Linked DNA regions of Tamandua tetradactyla. The protein of the gene in region 1 interacts with the protein of each later gene in a pairwise test. Links are inferred from orthologs where the notes say so. Each region holds a gene or a part of one and is shown on either strand. Other genes may lie near its edges.

Evidence for each region.
Region 2: the proteins of DAXX (region 1) and FTH1 interact in binary tests that used the Homo sapiens proteins (3 or more experiments, as listed by UniProt). The link is inferred for Tamandua tetradactyla from reciprocal best matches to the Homo sapiens genes DAXX and FTH1.
Region 3: the proteins of DAXX (region 1) and interferon-induced GTP-binding protein Mx1-like interact in a two-hybrid assay, tested with the Homo sapiens proteins (2 studies listed by BioGRID). The link is inferred for Tamandua tetradactyla from reciprocal best matches to the Homo sapiens genes DAXX and MX1.

What each region holds. Positions count from the first base shown.
Region 1 is NC_135331.1:89,253,891-89,261,403, reverse strand, and holds the start of DAXX (death domain-associated protein 6), read left to right. Parts: upstream 1-4,454; 5' UTR 4,455-4,560; intron 4,561-4,606; exon of another isoform or gene 4,607-4,652; intron 4,653-5,424; 5' UTR 5,425-5,476; coding exon 5,477-5,683; intron 5,684-5,836; coding exon 5,837-6,668; intron 6,669-6,794; coding exon 6,795-7,009; intron 7,010-7,163; coding exon 7,164-7,359; intron 7,360-7,513. Other genes in the region: SMIM40 (small integral membrane protein 40), read left to right, coding at 1,928-2,170. UniProt on the Homo sapiens protein: Transcription corepressor known to repress transcriptional potential of several sumoylated transcription factors. Down-regulates basal and activated transcription.
Region 2 is NC_135335.1:12,987,348-12,994,280, forward strand, and holds FTH1 (ferritin heavy chain), read left to right. Parts: upstream 1-3,867; 5' UTR 3,868-4,058; coding exon 4,059-4,172; intron 4,173-5,617; coding exon 5,618-5,764; intron 5,765-6,078; coding exon 6,079-6,204; intron 6,205-6,301; coding exon 6,302-6,466; 3' UTR 6,467-6,627; downstream 6,628-6,933. UniProt on the Homo sapiens protein: Stores iron in a soluble, non-toxic, readily available form. Important for iron homeostasis. Has ferroxidase activity. Iron is taken up in the ferrous form and deposited as ferric hydroxides after oxidation. Also plays a role in delivery of iron to cells.
Region 3 is NC_135336.1:98,726,433-98,733,339, forward strand, and holds the start of interferon-induced GTP-binding protein Mx1-like, read left to right. Parts: upstream 1-3,841; 5' UTR 3,842-3,886; exon of another isoform or gene 3,887-3,991; intron 3,992-5,440; 5' UTR 5,441-5,519; intron 5,520-6,907.

The DNA.
Region 1 (7,513 bases):
TTTTTTTGCATGGGCAGGCACCAGAATCAAACCTGGGTCTCCAGCATGGCAGGCAAGAACTCTGCCTGAGAAGCCACCATGGCCCGCCCAACACCCCTCAATATTGACATTCCATTGTTCTTCCTCATGCAAAAACATTATTTAATTTTTACATTTAGCCACTGTCATTGTACATTCTAAGCATTCCTAGATTATACCACCTCAGTCTTTATTGTCTATCTTTCCTTCTGCAAACCCTTGATCTTGAGGCTTGCTTTTATGAAGCCTATTTCTGTAGTGGAGAAACTAAATCTACCTATGGTTATGCCTTAGAGTTACTTCCAGAAAACCTCTTTTGTTGCTCAGATGTGGCCTCTCTTTCTTTCTCTAAGCCCAACTCTGTAATGGAAAATTATTACCTTCCCCCCTCCATGACACCCAGTGGTCAAAGCTTCCCTGGGAATGTGGGACATGACTCCTAGGGATGAGCCTGGCCCTGGCATTGTAGGATTGACAATGCCTTCCTGACCAAAAGGGGGGAAAAATGTTACAAAATAAGATAATAGTATATAAGAAAGTTCAAATATAGTTGAGAAGCTATTCTGGAGGCTACTCTTATGCTACCTTTAGCTAGAAATTGCTAATTAGCAGGGTTTGCCAAACCCCAACCAAAACCATTCCTGTTAAACCTAAAGAACACCTAGGGCTTTAGTGGAGATTCTACAAAAGTTTCATACTCTAAGATTATTTTCCAGAAATCTACGACCTCCAGATGGTTTCCTAGGCCAGATAAGTCCTGAAATCCAGAGAGCAGCTTCTCCAATAACAGCAAGTAGTTCCATCTCCCATCCTATATTATTGAAACTCCTTTCCAACATGAAAAAGTTAGAGTAGGCATAGCCCAAATACCCCTAAAGATTGGGAGAAGAATCAGAAGAGAAGAAAGAGTTATAACAAAGAAGATGGAATTTAACAAATGAATTATATACTGATGCTTCTTTCAGTCTCCAGTGTCTTGGAGCAGCTAGGAATAAAACTCTAAAATTGTGGAATTGTAACCCATACCAAACTCTGAAATCTGTTCTTTAGCTACTTGTTACAATGTACTTTGAAATTTATTGTTTTCTGTATCTGTTATATTTCATAATAAAAATATTTTTTAAAAAAAGGAGGTTTGGGTAAGGTAGCCCTGGGTCCATAAAGCCTATTCATAACCCTTCTTTCACACTGCAGAGGCCTTAAGTTCAGAAGACAGTGCTCTACATTTTAACTAAACGTGTCAGCCACTGGAGACGTGAGTGTGTGTGTGTGTGTGTGTGTGTGTGTGTGTGTGTGTGTAGGATATGTCTGTACAGAAGAGACCTGGCTGCTTGCCACCACCCTTCTCAGATAGTTGTGCCCCTCCCACATACACACTGTTAAACTGGAAGGGGCTGCAGAAGCCATCTAAAGATCTAGTCCCTTCCTAGACTGTCAGAGGCTTACATTAGTTCATTAGGTCCACTTGCTTACCTCCTATATGTAGGGTTCTAAGGCCCTGAGCCTAGAGATCCAGAATGATTTGGGCAGTTCAGCTGCCTGTTCTTTACAGCTTGCATGTTGGATCTTCAGTTTCCAAACCACAGAACCATAGGACAATAAAACTGGACAGGACTTAGGGATCTGGACTACACGATCCCTAAAGTGCTGTCCAGTTTTACTGTCCTATGATTCTGTGGTTTGCATTGGATGATTCCTGTTCACATTGCACTGGATGATTAAATGACTGTTCCCAAAGGCTCAGAGCCTCTTCTTTCCTTTCTCCTTCTTGGGTGAGGGAATTCGGGTCATGGTAGACAGGTGCAGAACTCATGGCCAGCACCACAGTCTGCCTTAATCCCGGGAGTGCTGAGCCAAGGCTTCCATCCCAGACTCCCTAATTCAGCCAGCTGTCAGACTGTGGGTCAGGATGGCAGAAGAAGAAGGCAATGTGGATGAGGAAGATGTGTTCCTGGCATTTGCCCATGGTCCAACTCCAACCAGGGGTCCTGTGTGTCGGGCCTTGGACAAGGCTTTATTTATCTTCCTGGCCCTTTTTTTGGCACTGCTGATGCTGGAGGCTGCCTATAAATTGCTGTGGCCACTACCTTGGGCAAAATTTGGGGACTGGCTCCTGGGCACACCTGAGAAGGAGGAGGAGCTGGAATTGTGACCACCTTTCCATAAATATCCTTTTTCTCTGCCACGGAGGTGAGAGGGGAGACAGGAGGGAAATGGGAGTGTAGGGGGCTGCAAAATGGCTACTTGGATAGCTCAGAGCAGTCTTAAAATATTTGCATTACGCTCCCTGAAATAATTTTGAAAGTCAATACTTCCTCACATATTAAACCACCCTTTTGTTTTTATTTTAAAATGCAAATATTTCCAATATGCCAAGAATTACATCCTTGAAACAATTTTAATTTATAATGAAAAATTTTAGCTGCCTATTTAAAGGTATGTGAGGAAATATTAACTTTTTCAAAATTATTGAAATACCATAGCAACTTGAAACCCACAAGCACCCATTAAAAAATACATTAAGAAGTTTTTCTTTAGCAGTTGAGAATCTGCTTTTCCTTTCTTCATTATCTCCTTTTCTCCATGAACTACTATTACCATTCTACTACCCCATTCCCAGATAATTTTATATTTTTATACTTGAAAGTCTCTTATCGATCAACCTATATACTTTAATGCATGTATATATACATTAATTAAAATGAAAAATATTTTTCTTTCTTGTGACTATAAGCTCTAGATGTTGACAATTTTTCTTCTGGGTTGGGTTATTACAATTATTATTAGAATAAAATTGATCAAAGCAACATAAAGATTTTGCAAATTTTTATAATTATTAAAAGTAAAAAAAATACATGTCTAATGGAATAGACAAAGTGGCATTTACAGCTTTGATAAAGGAAATAGGTTACCTGTCTCTTTGAGACAGAGTAATATTACCCCAAGTGATTTCATGATTGAAAGCTATACTTCCTTTTCTTTTGAGGAAGAAAGTGTATTGAAAAGGAGAAGGGATGAAGGGAAACCTCTATTGCAGGGGCTTACTCAGGAAGACTAGTTTTGGGAAAGTTGAGGATTTGGACATTAAACCCTTTAAATCTTCCATTTCTGAATACCCTTTGGGGGGTTTTCAAGTTTCCCATTTTGAAGACTATAGGTTTAAAAAACTGGAGATAAGTAGTATGTGGGATTCTTTAATGGGCGGAGGCTTTAAAGTTCTGGGATTCTGATGGCACGGGGGACGTAAGGACCTCTGCAGTCCTGGAAAGTGGAAAAATGCCCACTTGTGGAATGCGCAAGCATGTAGGTGGGAAGTTCAGAGACTGGGGCGATGTTAACTTAACCAGGAAAAATATCTGGTTTCCCCATAAATTCAACTCTGGACCCCGCCCTGGCTCCATCAGTCTCTCAGGCCTTCCTAACGCCGGGCGAGGTTGGGGCGGGGGTAAGGTGGGTGTCACAGGCGGTTTCTTTTCCTTCGTTCTTTCCTCAGCTCTCCCAGAGGAAAAGGAGACTAGACCCGAGGTTTTTCACAAGCCTCATTTCGTCTCACAACCCTCACAGTGGATTTGCACAGATTCCCCTCAAAGCTGCCGCACCATCGTTCATCCTCAGGCCCTGGGGCTCTTCCACAAAGCACAGCCTCCTGGTCAGCACCGCCCGCGCTTCGGGGACCCCCAAGAGAGGGACGGAGAACCACCAGGTCCCATCTGCTTAATTTCTGTGGAGCTTGAAAAGCAAAGCAACAGCAATAATAACAATAACAATCCTATAGCGCGTTGTGCTCATTTGTATGCTTGTATTATGATCTCACGATTGGGAGATGTAGGCATCTTGATGTAGAAGTAGCTGCTGGACAGCGGCAAGGGAGCGCTCAGCTCTTGGAAGGGGAGGGGCTGGCACGGCTGATTATGCTGTGCACATGGTACCTGGGAGATACGAAAGCAAGGCCGGAAGGCTTAATAGCCTAGCGGAAGGAAAAGGTTTCATTTCCATCTTAAGAGACCCCCATCCCTCCGTGACTCCTGAGCAGCCTTGAAGAACTTAACTCCTTATCCATCCTGTTCCATCCCCGCGTGCCCTCCCCCAGTTGGAAAGGTGGCTTAATCCTCCCTGCACGCTACTCGCTGCCGATTGTGCCCGAGGCAGGAAGTTTCTGATTGGCGGAGTCGCAGAAGCACCGGGTGAAAAGAGATCAGCTGGCCGCGCTGAGCCAGCGCCGTACGGCAAAATGGTAGTTCCCGGGTGCTTTAGGACGCCCTGCAGGGACAAAACCCCGCCCCCTACAGATCACAGGAAAGGGAACCGCAGACAACCTGGGCGGCACTCGGAGGTCCCGGGTGGAAGGCGTACAGTTACTTCCGGCCACAGGAAAACAGGTTTCCGTACGACAAGATGGCCGCCACTAGGTGCATGTAGGCGGAAACTCGGCGGCTTCCGGTCCTGAGTGGGGCCCGCGGTGGGAGGGGGAAGGAAGGCGGAGGGAACCATGCGAGGTTCTGAGATCCGCGGCGAGGGTCGCCTCGAGAGACCGTTTCTGAGGTGGGGGCCGGACGGTGTGGGGAGTGGGGGCGGGGATATCGGGGGACAGGTAGTGGGGAGGCCCGGGCTCTGAACCTGAAGGGCAAGCTGTGGTACCTTCCTATGCTTGAGGGGGAGCGGGGTGGCTAGGAGCTGAACTGGGGGAGGGGGACTTGGCGGGAAGCTCACCCAGGGAAGGACCCGACCCAAGGTTGGGATGAGAGGAATCGGGAGAGCCCAGTGCGGGGCTCACGAGCAGTTACGGGTCACTGAGAGAAAATGGGGGAAATTAGAGTGGGGTGAGAGGAAGGGGATTCGTGGTGAAATATCTCCTGTGGGTTCGAGGGGACCTATTAGAGGTTGAAATATAGAGATAATTCAAGGAGGAGAAAGGGTTGTTGGAAGGGTCCATCTTTTACCTGCAGGGTCTGGGAGTTAGGCTGATAATTCAGGATGGGGTGGAGGTACAGATTTTACGTGTTTGATGGCAAAAGGGGAAAAAACACCTGGGGTGGCGCCGATGGGGGTGTGGTATCAGCAAGGTGGTGTCAAAGAAATCTGGGATCCAGTGTGGGAGGTGGTCCTGGGGCTGGGATGAAGAATCAACTTGCCAACTGTGAGAAAACAGTGGAGAAATGCAAGGAAGAGACCGGAAATCGGCTTGAGGGGTGGAGCTGGGGGTGGGGACTTAAGGTTTGGCGGTGGTTTGGGGCCCCAATAGGTGAAGGACATGAAAAGCATATGAAACTAATGGTTGCTGAAAATAAGCAGTGAGGAGTTGGGCAGGGCTGAGTGTAATTGAAACCCAAGAAGATTGGAAATGTGTGAGATGAAGGGATGGGGCTGTGCTGGAGGGGCTCTTTCTAAGGCCCCATCCCCTTCCAGCAGGATTTCCGAAATCCCCAACACTTCCACCCTCCGGGGGATTTGATCCCCCATGGCCACCGCTAACAGCATCATCGTGCTGGATGATGATGACGAAGATGAAGCAGCTGCTCAGCCAGGTCCCTCCCACCCACCCCCCAGTCTGGCCTCACGCCAGGCAGAAGCCCCTGGCTCCTCCGAGCCCCGTGGGGCTGGAGGAAGCAGTAGTTCGGGCGGCAAGAAATGCTACAAGTTGGAGAATGAGAAGCTGTTTGAAGAGGTGAGCTTTAGGGGAGAAGATTCGTGTATCTCAGGGAGGGGGATGGCTGATTGGCTCATCTGTCCTTTCTTTCCCATTAATCCCACGCTCCCTTTTTTCTCTCAACCCCCTCCCTTGTCTCTTTCCCCTTCCCTCTCTCCCTGTACCCTCCAGTTCCTTGAACTGTGTAAGAAGCAGACGGCGGACCACCCTGAGGTGGTCCCATTCCTCTCTAACCGGCAGCAGCGTGCCCATTCTCTGTTTTTGGCCTCAGCGGAATTCTGCAACATCCTCTCTCGGGTCCTGTCTCGGGCCCAGAGCCGGCCAGCTAAGCTCTATGTCTACATCAATGAGCTCTGCACTGTTCTCAAGGCTCACTCATCCAAGAAGAAGCTGAACCTGGCCCCTGCTACCACCACCTCTGTTGAGCCCTCTGGGGATAACCCTGCCACAAACCCCTCTTCGGAACCCACAAATGCTGAGACCTCTGCCTCTGAGGCCCCAAGGACCCGTGGTTCCCGGCGGCAGATCCAGCGCTTGGAGCAGCTGCTGGCGCTCTATGTGGCAGAGATCCGACGGCTGCAGGAGAAGGAGCTGGATCTCTCAGAACTGGACGACCCGGATTCCACATACCTGCAGGAATCTCGGTTAAAGCGTAAGCTGATCCGCCTCTTTGGGCGCTTATGTGAACTGAAAGACTGCTCTTCACTCACAGGCCGTGTCATAGAGCAGCGCATCCCCTACCGTGGCACCCGCTACCCAGAGGTTAACAGGCGCATTGAGCGGCTCATCAACAAACCAGGGCCTGATACTTTTCCTGACTATGGAGATGTACTAAAGGCCGTAGAGAAGGCAGCTGCTCGCCACAGTCTCGGCCTCCCCCGACAGCAGCTCCAGCTCATGGCTCAGGATGCCTTCCGAGATGTGGGCATCAGGTTACAGGAACGACGTCACCTCGATCTCATCTATAACTTCGGCTGCCATCTCACAGATGACTATAGGCCAGGTAGGAGGTTAGCAGGATGCCTATCAGTGACCCTTATATGTCAGGTGTGTGGCCGAAGGGGCAACTCTCTAGTCCTTCCTTCTAGTGTTTGAGTTTAGTTCTCTGACTTTATATTTTCCCACATAGGCATTGACCCCGCACTGTCAGATCCTGCCCTGGCCCGGCGCCTTCGGGAAAACCGAAGTTTGGCCATGAGCCGGCTAGATGAGGTCATCTCCAAATACGCAATGATGCAAGAAAAGAGCGAGGAGGGTGAGAGACAGAAGAGAAGAGCCCGGCTTCCCCAAGGCGCTTCTTCCCACTCTGCAGACTCCCCCAAACCCTCCTTGGATTCTGGCGAGGTATGGGAGGGACATTCCCTCCAGAGAGGCTATAGCCACCCTTGTACTAGCCACCCAGAAGTCCAGGGTGATTGATGGGGTAAAGTGCAGAAGGAAATCAAAGACTGGAACCTCTGGGGCAAGTGATTCCTTAGAGAAACTCCTTCGTCCCCAGGGCCCTAGTGGAATAGCATCCCAGGAGTGCCCTACCACCTCCAAGGCTGAGACAGATGAGGAAGAAGATGAGGAAAGTGATGAAGAGATGGAAGAAGAGGAAGAAGAGGAGGAGGTTACAGATTCTGAAGAGGAGGATCTGGAACAGATGCAGGAAGGTCAGGGGGATGATGAAGAGGAGGAGGAGGAGGAAACAGGTATGTTAGGGAAACATTCTCGCCAAATGTTAGTTTCCTCTACTCTATTGGCCATAAGCTATCTGTTTGAGACCCTTCCCTTCCTCCTCTTTTCCCCTAGCACCCCCTCAGCAGTATTATTTCACTTAGGTCTCATGTCATTCTTCCTCTTTTC
Region 2 (6,933 bases), on another chromosome or scaffold:
TCCTCCCCACCTTAGAGAAGTCACAGCCCTCCAGGCCTCCACCTTCCTCCTTAGTGACAAAGCACTTTTGGAGCCCAAGTCAAATCCCTCAGGACCAGCAGAGTGCTGAGTCATGGTGGGGCAGCAAATTTCCACCACATCCCCCACCACTGGCCTCCTCCAGCTCTAGGACGGGCCAGCTTTCTCCCGATTCAACCCGCCAGGCCCTTTTCCCCTCCCCTACAGCCCCTCCCGCGGCTCCTGGCCCCGGGAGGCAGCTGCCTTGGAGACCAGCCAAACTCCAGCCTCCTAGAAGTCACGCGAAGCAGAGGGGCGGGTGTGTGTGCTCCTGGTCAACAAAGGTCCAAAGACCAGGCTGCAGCTTTGGAAGAATCTAGAGACTTAGAGATGGCAGTTCTGACACCCCTCCCCCCAGTTGGCCCTCCAGGTGGCAAAGCGGCACAAGTGCATGCATGCACGCACGCGCGTACACACACACTCACACAAGATTTCCCTTCCATTCTTCCCAGCCTAGCCAGCCCCCAAGCCACGTTCTACAGTACAAACCGTCCCTCCGTTTTGCTCTGAGGTTCACTGTAGCTGCCTGTGTGTTTAACCAAGCATGGAGCCAATAATGATTCATAAATTCTGCTTTCTAAAATAGGCGCATTTCTCTCCAACTTCATGCTAGCGCTTTCCCTCTGGAAAGCCCCCTGGGGGCTATTCAAACTCAGCACCTCCAGTCCAAAACAAAGCTGGCCATCTCCCATTTCTTCCCGTGCTCCCTGTTTCAGAGAAAGGAACCAGGAAGCCAGCTGTCCGGGCCAGAAACCTAGGGAGCTGTCTGCCCACCCCCATATTAACCCATCAGCCACTTCATCCTGTCCATTGTTTCTTCCCCATGTCTCTCAATCTGTTTTCTGTCCCCTCTGCACACTGAGGGTTAGGGTTGCTGTCTCCCAACTGGTATCTAGCTCTCTCGCCTAACTTTGATCCATCTTCCACGCTCAATCACTCATCCATCCATTCATTCAACAAATACTGAGCATGACTAACAAAGCACCTTGCAAAAGTCCTGGCAGTGCAGCGATGAAGAAGTTAGAAACAGTGTCTGCCCTCAGGGAGCAGGGGAGACCATCAGAGTGGTTACCAAAAGGTGGGATTTATATGTATATGATATATAATTACATTATATATATATATTACATTATGTAACTACATATATATATATTTTGCTTATTGACAGTCATGACTTATACAAGCTACAAATACTGTCAACCCACCTTGTTATTTGTCTATTTAACTTTGCAAGTGGCATCTTTAATTTTACTGGGGTTTTTTTTTTTTTTTTGCATGGGCAGGCATGGGCACTCGAACTCAGGTCTCCAGCATAACAGGCAAGAACTCAGCCTGTTGAGCCACCGTGGCCTGCCCAGTGTTTCATTTTTAAGGAGTCAATCTGCTAAGTTTCCTTTTAAGAAGGCCTCAGAAGAGCACTCCCTACCCCAAAACTATAAAAGATAATCTTCCATATATTTTTCTCACCACCTAAAGGTGGTATAAATGTATAAATAGGTTTTTCTTTAACGTTTGTAATTTTAGTCCATCTGGACCATATTTTTTTTCTTTTGAACCATATTTTTTAGTAGAATGAGTCACTGTTTTCCAGATGACTACCAATTGTTTCAAAATCATTTCCTGAAATCATTCTTTCTCCTCTAATTTGAAATGCCACTTTATCATGTACCATGTTCCCATAAATATGTGGGTGGGACTGTTTTGTTGTGCTGACCTAATCACTGTTTCAATTAAACACTGCTTATAGCACTTTTAGTACTTTTTTGTTATCAGGGAGGGCAAATCTACCTTTAAAGCTTTCTATCCCCAAGTGTTTGTCAGCTATTCTACACATTTTTTACAAATAAACTTTAGAATCAAGTCCCAAGAAGTTTTATGGAAATTGCTTTGAATTTATACGTTTATTTGGGGAAAACCGACATCTTTAAAAAATGAAACCTTTCCATTTGGAAACATGGTGTCTCCATTGCAGCAAGTTGTCTTTTCCTTTCTAGCAGTAATTGTTGACAGTTTTTTTTTCATACAGTCCCTGTTCACTTTATGACAAGGTATTTTAAGCTTTTGTTGTCAATGTAAATGAATTTCTTTTTCCTTTCATCACATTTTCTAAATGGTGGTTCCTGTTATGTAGGAAAGCTTTGCATCCGGTGACTTAACTGGAGTCTTATTCTAATAAATTATCTGTTGATCCATTGTAAGATCTCTAAAAACAAACTACTGCTGTGTCTCCCTGGTTAGAAATCCCTTAGAATCTCCATGTTGAATCCAGGATAAAGTTTAACCCCTTTTTATGGCACACAACTGTCCAGACCTTGCCCTAGATTCCCCTTGCATCATTCTCCAACATGATCTTTACTCTCCAGGCTGACACCCTTTCTGAAGGTTCCCTGGACAGACCATGCATTGCCACACCTTCATACATTCACATATGCTGTTCCCCCTGCTTGGAATTCTCTGGCCCACTTCACCTTCCTTTTAATTAACTTCTCCAAACTCGCGTATCACTTTCGTAGCGGAAGCCTGCATGACCTATCCCTGTTCGGGTAAGGCACCCCTCTTCTGTATTTCACAGCCAGCTTCTGCTTACTTTTTCGTAACTCTGACCCTACTAGAAATTCTTCCTGAGACTAGTTTACGTTCATTTTGAAATGAATAAAGCGCCAAGAGGGAGAAACTGCCATACTTCCATCAGCAAACTTCTTTTAATATTTTAATGGTGTTCCTTGAAAAAACAAAACAAAACAAAAAACAACGCTTTGGAAGCCCAGCTTCCAGTTTTATGTGTGTGAGCATTAAAAGGGTTTTTTAATGGGTCTCCACACACATCGAAGGGGCTGGCCGAGAACAGAGAACCCCCAAACCAGGAGGCTAGGAGGGCAGGAGGCGGGAGTCACGAAGTCGTGCCCACACTGCTTCACAGCTGCGAGCCCCCCACGAGCCCCTCCAGGGTCCCTGGCGCCCGTCCCCCCACCACTCAGGGTCATCAGCTTCTCTTCAAGGACAACCCCAGGGGAGCGGCCCCTCGCGGGGTCTCCTCGACCCCAGGCTCCCGCGAATGGGGCGCCTACGAGGCCGATCCGAGCCGCCTAAGTCTCTTCTCCTTTCTTTTTAAACTCCCGAGTTCTGTGTTTTGAGTTTTAAGCCACCCGCGAATTTCTCACGTCAGGCGGCTCAGCTCCGGGCCTCAGACTCCAGGGCACCAGGACAACGCCCGTCGCGGCCTTTGTTCTCACACTGCACGAGGAGCCATGTTTGCTCTCGGCGACGGGCGGGCGCGAATCCGAACGCCCGCGGCGGGCCCCGCGCCTCCATTCTGCTCCGTAGGGAAGGGAAAGTGCGCCTTTTCCCAACCCAGCCTCTGACGCCCTCGGCCAACGAGGACCCGCTTCTAACCACCGTCCATTTTCCCCTGGGAATCCGGGCAAGCGCCTCGAGGCGCGTGGCAACCGCTTCTCTGAGGCCCGGATTTTGTTCACAGCGTGTCCTTGGCCAAGAGCCTCGGGGTGCCCGTTTGGTACCTCAGCATCCCCCCCAACCCCCCGTCCCGACCACTTGCGAGCCCGGGGCCGATTCCCACCAGTTCCGCGGCCCCGTGGGCCTCCGAGCTCGGGGCTTTGTGGTAGACTCGGCGCCCCTCCCCAGGCCTTCCCTCAAGCCCACTAAGCGCGCGGTGGAGGGGGGGGGGGGGGGAGGCGCCCCTCCCCCAAGCCAGATGGGAGGGGCTCGCGCGCCCACCGGAAGGGGCGGGCCTCAGAGGGGCGAGCGGGCGGTTCTGATTGGCCGGGGCGGGCTTGACGCCGACTACCCGATATAAGACGCGGGCTGAGCAGCCGTCCGCCGCAGACGTCTTCGCGGAGAGTCGCCGTGGTTTCCTGCTTCAACAGTGCTTGAACGGAACCCGGCGCTCGCCTCCTCCCCGTCGGCCGGCCACTCCGAGCAGCTTTCAGCCACCTCTCCAGCGCCGCGCAGCCGCCGCCTCCTCCTCTCCTCAACCGCCCACCATGACGACCACGTCCCCGTCGCAGGTGCGCCAGAACTACAACCAGGACTCAGAGGCCGCCATTAACCGCCAGATCAACCTGGAGCTCTACGCCTCTTACGTCTACCTGTCGATGGTGAGGCCTGGCGAGCGGGCTCGCGGCTGGGTTGGGGGCCGGGCGCGGTCTCCCTGGGGCCCCGCGGGTTGCTGGGCGGGGCGGGGGTGTGGCCACCGCCTCCGCGCGCCCTTGGGAAAATGGAAGCTGCTCCCAGTCTACCCCGGACATGCATTGCGCAGCAATTCTGATTGTGGGCAATTTCGTGCCTTCCGGGTGTCCCAGGGAGCGCTCCCTCCTGGGCTAGAGCCTCCACTGCGCACCTCTCTTTAGGGAGGGGGAGAGTCAAGTGTTCTGAAAATCCCGGGTTTGCAAGACTTGCAGACTGTACATTCAAGCCTGCGGTTAGGAAGGTGATTTTTTTTTGTTGTTGTTCTTCTGCCCTTTTCTCCGCCTGCAGCCGTGTGTGTGGGCCCTCCATTTCTCTGGGTAATGGGGGCGAAGAGCTCAGCTCCCATCCCCCAGGGTATGGCGTCGAGTGGCAACCTTGGGGGCTGGGTGGGAAGTGGTTTATCTCCCGTGGGCGGGCCCCCCCCCCGAGCAGCCATCTCCAGCCCTTTGCTGTGCTTATCTGTAAGTCCCACTTGAATTTAAGCGTATCTCTAGGAATCGCCTGCCTTCGCCGAGTTACTTAACCCGCCCTTGCGGCTCAAGACTTAGTTCTTTTTCCTTTTGCTGCTTGGTTGGAGGGTTATGGAGGCGCATTAATTGAACTGTTAATTCTTGATAAGAGGCCATCAACAGTTAACTAGGAAAGAAATGTTTCCATGCAATAAATCGTCACGTTTTTACTCGTTTTACCAAGTCTTGGTTTTAGGCCCTGTGGTGGGAGTATTGAGCAGAACTGCCTTACATAATTTCAAGTTATCCAAGAACAGACACGTACCAAATGGGATTGGAAACGGGCCTGGATTTCTGTGTGCCATTCAGTTTAAGGAACACTTGAATACAGCAAGGGTCTAAAACTGAAAAATCAAAATGTTGTTTTCTACGGTAATACATTAACATCAGCATTTGCCCACAAGCATCATCTTCCCTGGCCGGTTAATTTTGAAAATCCAGGAATCTACTGTACAGCTGACAAGTTTATGAACTCTTTAGAACACATGCTTTAATGTGGGGTAATTGGGAAGGGAGGGCAAGGAAGGTACTGGCAGTAAGAAATTCTCTTCTGCACCAATAGTCTTTAGGATCCGTTGTGTTGAAGGTAAATTCCTATGATATTCTAAAGGTTCCCCAAAGAAGCAAGCTAAATCAATTTCAGTTTTGTATTTTAGAGTAACAACTCATCACCCTTAGGTGTAGAATTCAGGAGCACACTTGACCGGCATCTCTTTAGGGACTGTCCCCTCTTGATGTGCTTTGAAAGGGAAGCGGTGGCTACCAGACTCATTGCTACTTAATAGCCTGTTAAAGCTACTCCTTTGATAATCCCTAGCCTAATATATACATCTTAATACTTTCAGTCTTACTACTTTGACCGTGATGATGTGGCTTTGAAGAACTTTTCCAAATATTTTCTTCACCAATCTCATGAGGAGAGGGAACATGCTGAGAAACTTATGAAGCTGCAGAACCAACGAGGTGGCCGCATCTTCCTTCAGGATATCAAGGTGAACAAATGATTCTAGAGGCATCATGTGGGCCTCCTAATTAGCTAGCAGTGTTCAGGTGTCAAATCACTTGAAGATTTCCCTTTTAAAATGAGGTTACATTTAATTTTGTCTTTTTGGTGCCTTATTTCTGCCATCTAAACTAAAGTAGGCAAACAGTTATGGGCAAGGATGTTAAATTGAAAACTGGTGTCAGGGAAGCTTGAATGACCCTTTTGGAGAAGTTTGGTCGTTTAGAGCTAGGTGCCTGCTCTGTTGTTGATGGGCTAATCACTGGATGTGGCAGATGTTTGACCTAACCACATCTCATTCAGAAACCAGAACGAGACGACTGGGAGAGCGGGCTGAATGCAATGGAGTGTGCATTACATTTGGAAAAAAGGGTGAATCAGTCACTACTGGAATTGCACAAACTGGCCACTGACAAAAATGACCCCCATGTGAGTGTTGGAAACTGGGGACTAAAGGGGGGAAGAAATAATTTGCCTTAGGGGCTGGAAAGGCTTACCAATAACTTTGTTTCCCATTTTTTTCTAGTTGTGTGACTTCATTGAGACACATTACCTGAATGAGCAGGTGAAATCCATCAAAGAGTTGGGTGACTACGTGACCAACTTGCACAAGATGGGGGCCCCGGATTCTGGCTTGGCAGAGTATCTCTTTGACAAGCACACCCTGGGAAATAGTGATGATGAGAGTTAAGCCTTACGCTGTCTTCCCCAGAGTCACGGGGTGACTTCTGTGGTCACCAGGGCCGTGCATGCATGTTGGGTTTACCTTTGCCTTTTCTATTAAGTTGTATCAACACCCACCAAGTTGTTTCATTTGTACCATTCCTTCAAATAAAGTAATTTGGTACCCAACTGTTGTCTTGGAGATCTTTGAGTTGGCTGGAAATCTGTCTAGGCCATCTTGGCAGTTAAGCACCACAGTTTAGTTTCAGTCATAATAAAATGAAATTCCTCTGAGGATTTATATTTATTAAATTCCTTAGTTTGGGAAAGGTAACAGGTGTAGGTGTTTTGAATTTAAACAAGACACTAAGTACTCCTGAATTTCTGAATTAGGTTTTTGGAATTACTTGTTTTCAGTGGTTCATTCTAATTCACAATTTACGTTTAGAAAGCATAGGACGCTTAAGTAGTTCTGGAACTACTGACTTTGTTTTC
Region 3 (6,907 bases), on another chromosome or scaffold:
ACCGAATCCGAGATGACTGGGGAAAGCGTGAGAAATGGGAGGGGGAGAGAGGGGAAGAGAGAGATTTACGGAAACCAATTAGGGATTATATATTTGAATGTGGTTTAAAGGGGGCAATTTTAGAGTGTGTATCTGTAACTAGAGTAAAAATTAAACACCACTGAACCCTAATGTGAACACACTATAAAAAGTAGAATTATGATCATTGAAGCAAAGGTACCACGCCAATGCAAAGTGTTAATGTGGGGCGGGGAAGAGGGGGAAGTCTGTATTTTCTGCATGGTACTTTTGTAAACCTACAACTTCTCCAAAAATAAATGTATTACTAAAAATAAAATTGTAGAAGGTTACATCCAGGATGTCCTCACTTAGATAAAAACTAAAAACTAAAAATAAATAAATGAATAAATAGAGAAGACCCTTGGGGCACCCTAGGCTGCAAGCCGTAGAGCTTGAGAGTTAGTGTGATTGACCACTACTAATAGGCTTTCCCTCTGCGTGGTGTGTTGTGACAAATGCCTTTGGAAGGAGGCAGGAAACCTTAGGAGGACAGGACCAGGGCTAGGCCTCCCTGAAAGCCCCAGGCAGGCAGAGGGAGCTGGGCACCTCCATGCAATCACATTCAGCGCGTGTTTATTAAGCATTGCTGAGCCCACCGGAGACACCGGGAGAATGCCTACTTGGTAAGACTTTTGGCTCTACTGGGTGGCCTCATGCACCCCCCACCATCCATAACTGCCACCAGGCTAAAGGAGATGCAGCAACAGTGGCCCGAACTCAAGTTCCTGGGAGCCCAGAAGAGATGTGGCCCAGCCTTGGTTAGTGTTCTCAGGACAACTGCATAGGACATCACAGGTGGCCTGAGCAGGACAGTGGGATTTCTCAGGGTGCCTGGATGGAAGGACAGGCCAAGGTAGGAATGGTGTGAACACAGGATTGAGGGTGTGAACTGTGTGCCTCATTCAAGCTGTCGGGAGGATGAGGGGAGAAATTCTCAAAGGGCTCTAGTGTTTGAGATTTATTTGGCAGGAAATCGGTGCTTCTTTGGTAAAGAATGAATCGACAGCAATTCAGGTGGAAGGCTGTGAGCATCTGGGGACAAAGCCTGCCTCTCAACTACAGAATAAGGAGAAAGATGCTGGTTTGGGAGTAAAAACCTGGATTGGGATTTGGGGATTGTAGCACAACCATTTCCTAGCAGCAAGGCCCAGTAGTGACCTAACCTGTCAGGCATCAGTCTCTTGCATGGGAAAAGCAGGTGATGGTATTACCTGCCTCATGGTGGGGGAAGAGATGGGAGAATGTGAGTGGGCTATTGTACAAGGGGCACTTAAACTGTCACATCCTAGGTGGCCAATGCATATCAGCTGAATCACACCCTAAAGCAAGTACAACAACTGAAGTCCAGGGTTAGGATGGGGGTGATGGTGGAGGAAAGGAGTGAGGTGCCAGGGTACAAAATTTAAGGAGGCATTTGCATCAACTCAGAGCAAGGGGCTCCTTAAATTGTGTGCCTTAGGTGCCTCACTTGTTGCAGTGGGTTGAATTGTGTCTGCCAAAAAGATATATTGACATCCTAACCCCTGACACCTGTGAAAGTGACCTTATTTGGACATCAGTTTTTGCAGATGGAATCGAGGTAAGATTAGGGCATACTGGATGAGGGAGGATCCTAAATCCATTGACTGGTGTGTTTATAAGAAAGAGGAGAGGGAAACAGAAACACAGAGGGGATACACAGGGAAGAAGTCCACATGAAGGCAGAGGCAGAGATTGGAGTGATGCAGCTATAAGCCAAGGGTTGCCGAGGAACACCTGGAACCACCAGACGCAGGAAGAAGCAAAGAAGGGTCCTCCCCTCGAAACTTCAAAGGGAGCACAGCCCTGACGACACCTTGATTTCAGACTTCTGGCTTCTACCACTTGTAAGAAAGTACATATCTCTTATATTAAACTGCCCAGTTTGTGGTCCTGTGTTATAGCAGCCCTGGGGAACTAAGACACCTTCCCCTTGTCTTGGCAGAGATGACAGCTCTGGTGCCTCTCAGTTTTCCTTTCTGCCCACAGCGCCCTCCGGACGTCTTCATTCCTGTAGGGAGAGTCTCCTGTGGTTTGAAAAAACAGGGTCATCATTCAGAGTGCAATCGGGGGTCAGAGGCATGCCAGCCCCTTGCCTCGTACTGTTCCCTGTGTTTCAGTTGCACTTGGACACCTTTAGAAAGCCTTGGCCCATTGTGCTCTCTGTCCAGCAGGAAATGGTGTCACACTTCTCCTTGTCGAAGGAGTAGCTGACGTCCAGGGGTGCTGAGTGGCCCGGTGAAGGTTCCATCGCTAATTACTGGCAGAGCTTGGATTCTCCTGCCAGACCACCCTTGGACAGGGTGGCCCAGACCTCAAGGATGGCCCTCGCAGAGCAAGAGGGACTTCAGGCGATGGGGCCATGCTGCGGGTCTTTTCCCTTCTCTTGTGGGCAACTATATTTAATTTGGTTCTGCCCAGCCTTCCCTGACCCCAATACTTGGAGCTGGAGAAGATTCTGGATTCTCAGGGGAGTCTGTGTCAGGGATTCTGAAATGAACTAAGTAGAATGGAGGTTTAGTGCCAGCCCCTACCAAAGGAAAATGTTATTCACCACCCATGAGGCCCATAGTCCAGGCTCAGGGGCCCCCAGGAGGGCCTCCCTGGGTCTGCTTGCCCACTTGAGCCATTTCTGTCCTGGAGCAACCAGGTGAAGTCTTGGAGTAGACAAGGGCTAATGCGAAAGGAGGAAGATGAGAGGGTATGTGCATGGGGTGGGGTGGGATGAGCTAAGGATAGGGGTGCCATTAAAGGATCTTTTCACAGAGAATGTTCCAGAACCCCTGCTGCTTCTGGAATGATCCCACTGAGCCATTAGCAGGAATTTAAGACATCCAATTGTAAATGCATGTGTTCTGGAAGACCAAGCACTAATGGGAACTCCAAGACCAAGGCTGGTTCCAGGGGTCCTGGTTGCACTAACTCCAGGCTATTCAGGCAGCGGTTCAAGTTCAGCACAGAGCTACCATGTGGCCCGCAATCCCGCTCCTGGGTACACACTCCAAAGAGTTGAAAGCAGGGCTTCTAACAGACACTTGTCCACACCACAGCATCATTCACAATAGCCGCAAGGAAGAAACAACCCAAGTGTCCATCAACAGAAGAATGGATAAAAGCAATGTGGCATATACATGCAGTGGAATCTTATTCAGCCTTAAAAATGAATGCAATTCTGATACTTGGAACAACGTGGATGAGCCTTTGGAAACGTTATGCTCAGTGAAATAACACAAAAGGACAAATGTTGTATGATGCTACTCTTATGAAATATCTAGAATAGGCACATTCATAGTGGTATAAAGCAGACAAAGTTTCCAGGGACTGGGGGCCAAAATTTCTGTTTTGGGTGATGAAAAGATTTTAATAAGGGAAAATGTGATGGTAGCCCAACATTGTAGATGTAAGTAATGCCACTGTGTGCAGCACGTAAAAATTACTGAAATGGCAATTTTTATATTATATATATATAAAACAAAAAATTGCTGGGCGGGGCTCCAGAGTTCCTGATTCAGCTGATCTGAACTGGGGGAGAGATTTTGCATTTCCCGCAAGCTCCCAGGGAGGGTGCTGCTGCGGGCCGGGGCCCCGCTTGGCGAACGCCTGTGTTACTGAGCTGAGAGGCGTTCCGGAGGCAGAGCGCGCTGCGGGGTGAGTTTCGTTTGCTGCACCCGGTAGGCAGGCTCAGTGTGGGGAGTTTCGTTTTCTCGCGGCCGGGCCGGGAGGGGGAGGACGGGGCGGGGCCGGCCGCCGCACATAAAGGCGCAGGCGGAGCGAGAACGCGGGTGTCACGGCGACAGCGCGGGGACCGGTGAGTGTCGCGCAGCTCCGGGCCGGGCTTGGGGACCACCGAGAGAGGCGTTTGTCCGGCAGGTTGCAGAATCTCCGCACCCTAGGCATTTCCCGAGGTTAGCAGGTGAGATCTTTACGGACTCTGAAGGTGGGGTCCTGAATCCTAATTCCCGTCCCTGCTCCTTTCTGGGATCAGGGCCTGGACGCCCCGGCCCCATCCCTATCGCACCCCCAGGGACGGCGGGGCCTGAGCAGTGCGGACCTGCCCTGGGCGTGAATGGAGAGAGCCCGCTGCCCCTGGGCTCCGTCTCCCCTCCCTGATTTTAGGAGTGAGACAACGACCCCATCCCATCTTCAAGGCACTGTAACTCTTCCCATGGGTTAAGTAAGGATCTGACCAAAGGGTTGGGTTGGGGGGGGGGCGCGGTGGGGGGTGTTGGGTGTGGGAATGGGATGCAGTCATGAGGAAACATGGAGGAATACCTGCTTGGTAAGACTTCGGCCCTTCTGGGCGGCCACATGCATCCCCCACCATTCATAACTGCCCCCAGGCTAAAGGAGATGCTGCCACAGTGGCCCGAGCTCAGGTCCACGAGAGCTAGAAAGAGAGCGGAGCAGGGTGGGCTGATTCCCCTGCAGTCATGTGTGCACACAGAGGGCTGTGCCAAGGGTTTTCTGAGAGGTTTGGGGCTGAGAGCTTAGGGGTTGCCCTAGCTTGACTCCTCCAAGGCCAGAATTGAGAATCCTCTCTGTTCACTCTTACAAGCCAAGGCCCCATCTGGCTGGATGCCGAGTGTAATGAATGAGCAGCAAGCTAGTTTTAATGACTGAGATTGCCAGGTTTCTGCAATCCAAACTGATTTTCAAAGTTGATCCAAGAAAGGCACAAACATTTAAGTTTTAGATAAAACCCACAAGATCTTGCTTTCAGGGAATCTCACTTTCTGAAACAAATGGAGAAAGAAATATGCTAATAAAGCTCTCTTTTAGCTGATCAAGTTGAACCAAGGTCATGTGGGTAGAAAGCTCAGGTGACCCTGTGACATCACCACCCAGTGAGGTCACCTGAGCAGCCCACCTCAGAAGGTATGGCACTCCAGAGAGGCAGATGAAGCAGAGTCTCCAGCAAGGGGCCTGGAACCCCCCTGGCACCAGAAGTGTTTCCAAAGGCATGGAGGGTCTTGGGGAATCAATTTCCAGATTGTCTTTTCCACAAGTACACTTCAAAATTGATTGCTGTTCATGATTGCCCTTTTCCCACCTTACAAGGAAGTGCATCTCTCTGTCCCCTTCCAAACTGAAGAGGTGCTGTCCTGGAGGCAGGTAAACCTCAAAGTGCCACAGAGGGGCAGTTTTAAATTTTGATGTCTGTGATATGTCCTTAAATTGAGGCAGCATAAACTGGAACAGGGCTTCGAGATTTTCCTGATTGATACATACTTCTAAGCATCTTTCTCAGTGGTGGGAATGTCTCTTGGGGACATTCCCCAAGGGACAAAATATTCCCCAAATGAAAAAATACTTTCGTTTATTTGCCTGCGTCTTCTAATTTATATATTTTGCATGATTTCAGGGAGGTTAGGAGAACAGTTCTGCATTTCCATCTGACTAATCAACCTTACATCCTCAAGTAAAAGAAGCGTGTATCAGAGGTAAGTTAGTGCTTTATTTTTTTTAAATTTTTATTAATAAAACCAAACATCCAACATGAACATTCTTAATGTATGAACTTTCCATACTTGGTGTGCAAGCAGTGGCTCACAATATCATCTCATAGTTGTATATTCATCACCATGATCATTTCTAAGAACATTTACATCAGTCCAGAAAAAGAAATAAAAAGAAAAAACTCACATATACCAAACCCCTTGCCGAGGCCTCCCTTTCTCTGACCACTAGTATTTCCCTCTACCCAATTTATTTTAACACTTGTTCACCGTATTATTTATTTTAATTCCTATTTTTTACTCATCTGTCCATACCATAGATAAAAGGAGCATCAGAACAAGGTTTTTACAATCACACAGTCACTTTGTGAAAGCTGCATCATTCATTATACAATCATCTTCAAGAAACATGGCTACTGGAACACAGCTCTACAGTTTCAGGCACTTCCCTCTAGACTCTCTAATACACCTTAAACTAAAAAAGGGGTTATCTATATAATGCGTAAGAATAACCTCCAGGATAACCTCTCAACTCTATTTGAAATCTTTCAGCCACTGACACTTTATTTTGTCTCATTTCTCTCTTCCCCCTTTCAGTTGAGAAGGTTTTCTCAATCTCTTGTTGCTGAGTCCCAGCTCATTCTAGGATTTCTGTCCCACATTGCCAGGAAGGTTTATACCCCTGGGAGTCATGTCCCATGTAGAGAGGCGGAGGGCAGTGAGTTTGCTTGCCATGTTGGCTGAGAGAGAGAGGCCACATCTGAGCAACAAAAGAGGTTCTCTGGGGGCGACTCGTAGGCCTAATTTTAGGTAGGCTTAGCCTATTCTTTGCAGGGATAAGTTTCATATGAACAAACCCCCAGGTTTGTTATAGGGTTCGGCCTATTGATTTGGTTATCCTCACTGCTTGCGAGAATATCAGAGTGCTTTATTTTTTTAATAGGTTTTATTTCAACTCATAGTAGAGACATTTTCACTGACTTTTGTCCAGAGATTATTATATGCTATAAAATGTAACATCTAGAACCTTTAGTCCCAGAAAACTTTTAAAAGTGAATTTAGGGCGGGTCATGGTGGCTCAGCAGGCAGAGTTCTCGCCTGCCATGCTGGAGACCTGGGTTTGATTCCCAGTGCCTGCCCATGCAAAATAAAAATAAAAAGAATTTTAATCTATGCCTACATGATTTTTTTTCAGTGGAAATAAGCATGAACAGGTAGTCAGTTAAATGCTTTCAAGAATGGAATGTATGACATTAAGATACACTTATGTGGGGGAGATGGGATGGAAATATGAATTTGAGGAACAAAAGGAACAGTGAAAACAATTTAGAGTTCAGATATATATTATTTTAACTAAAAAAAAGAAGTGTGGG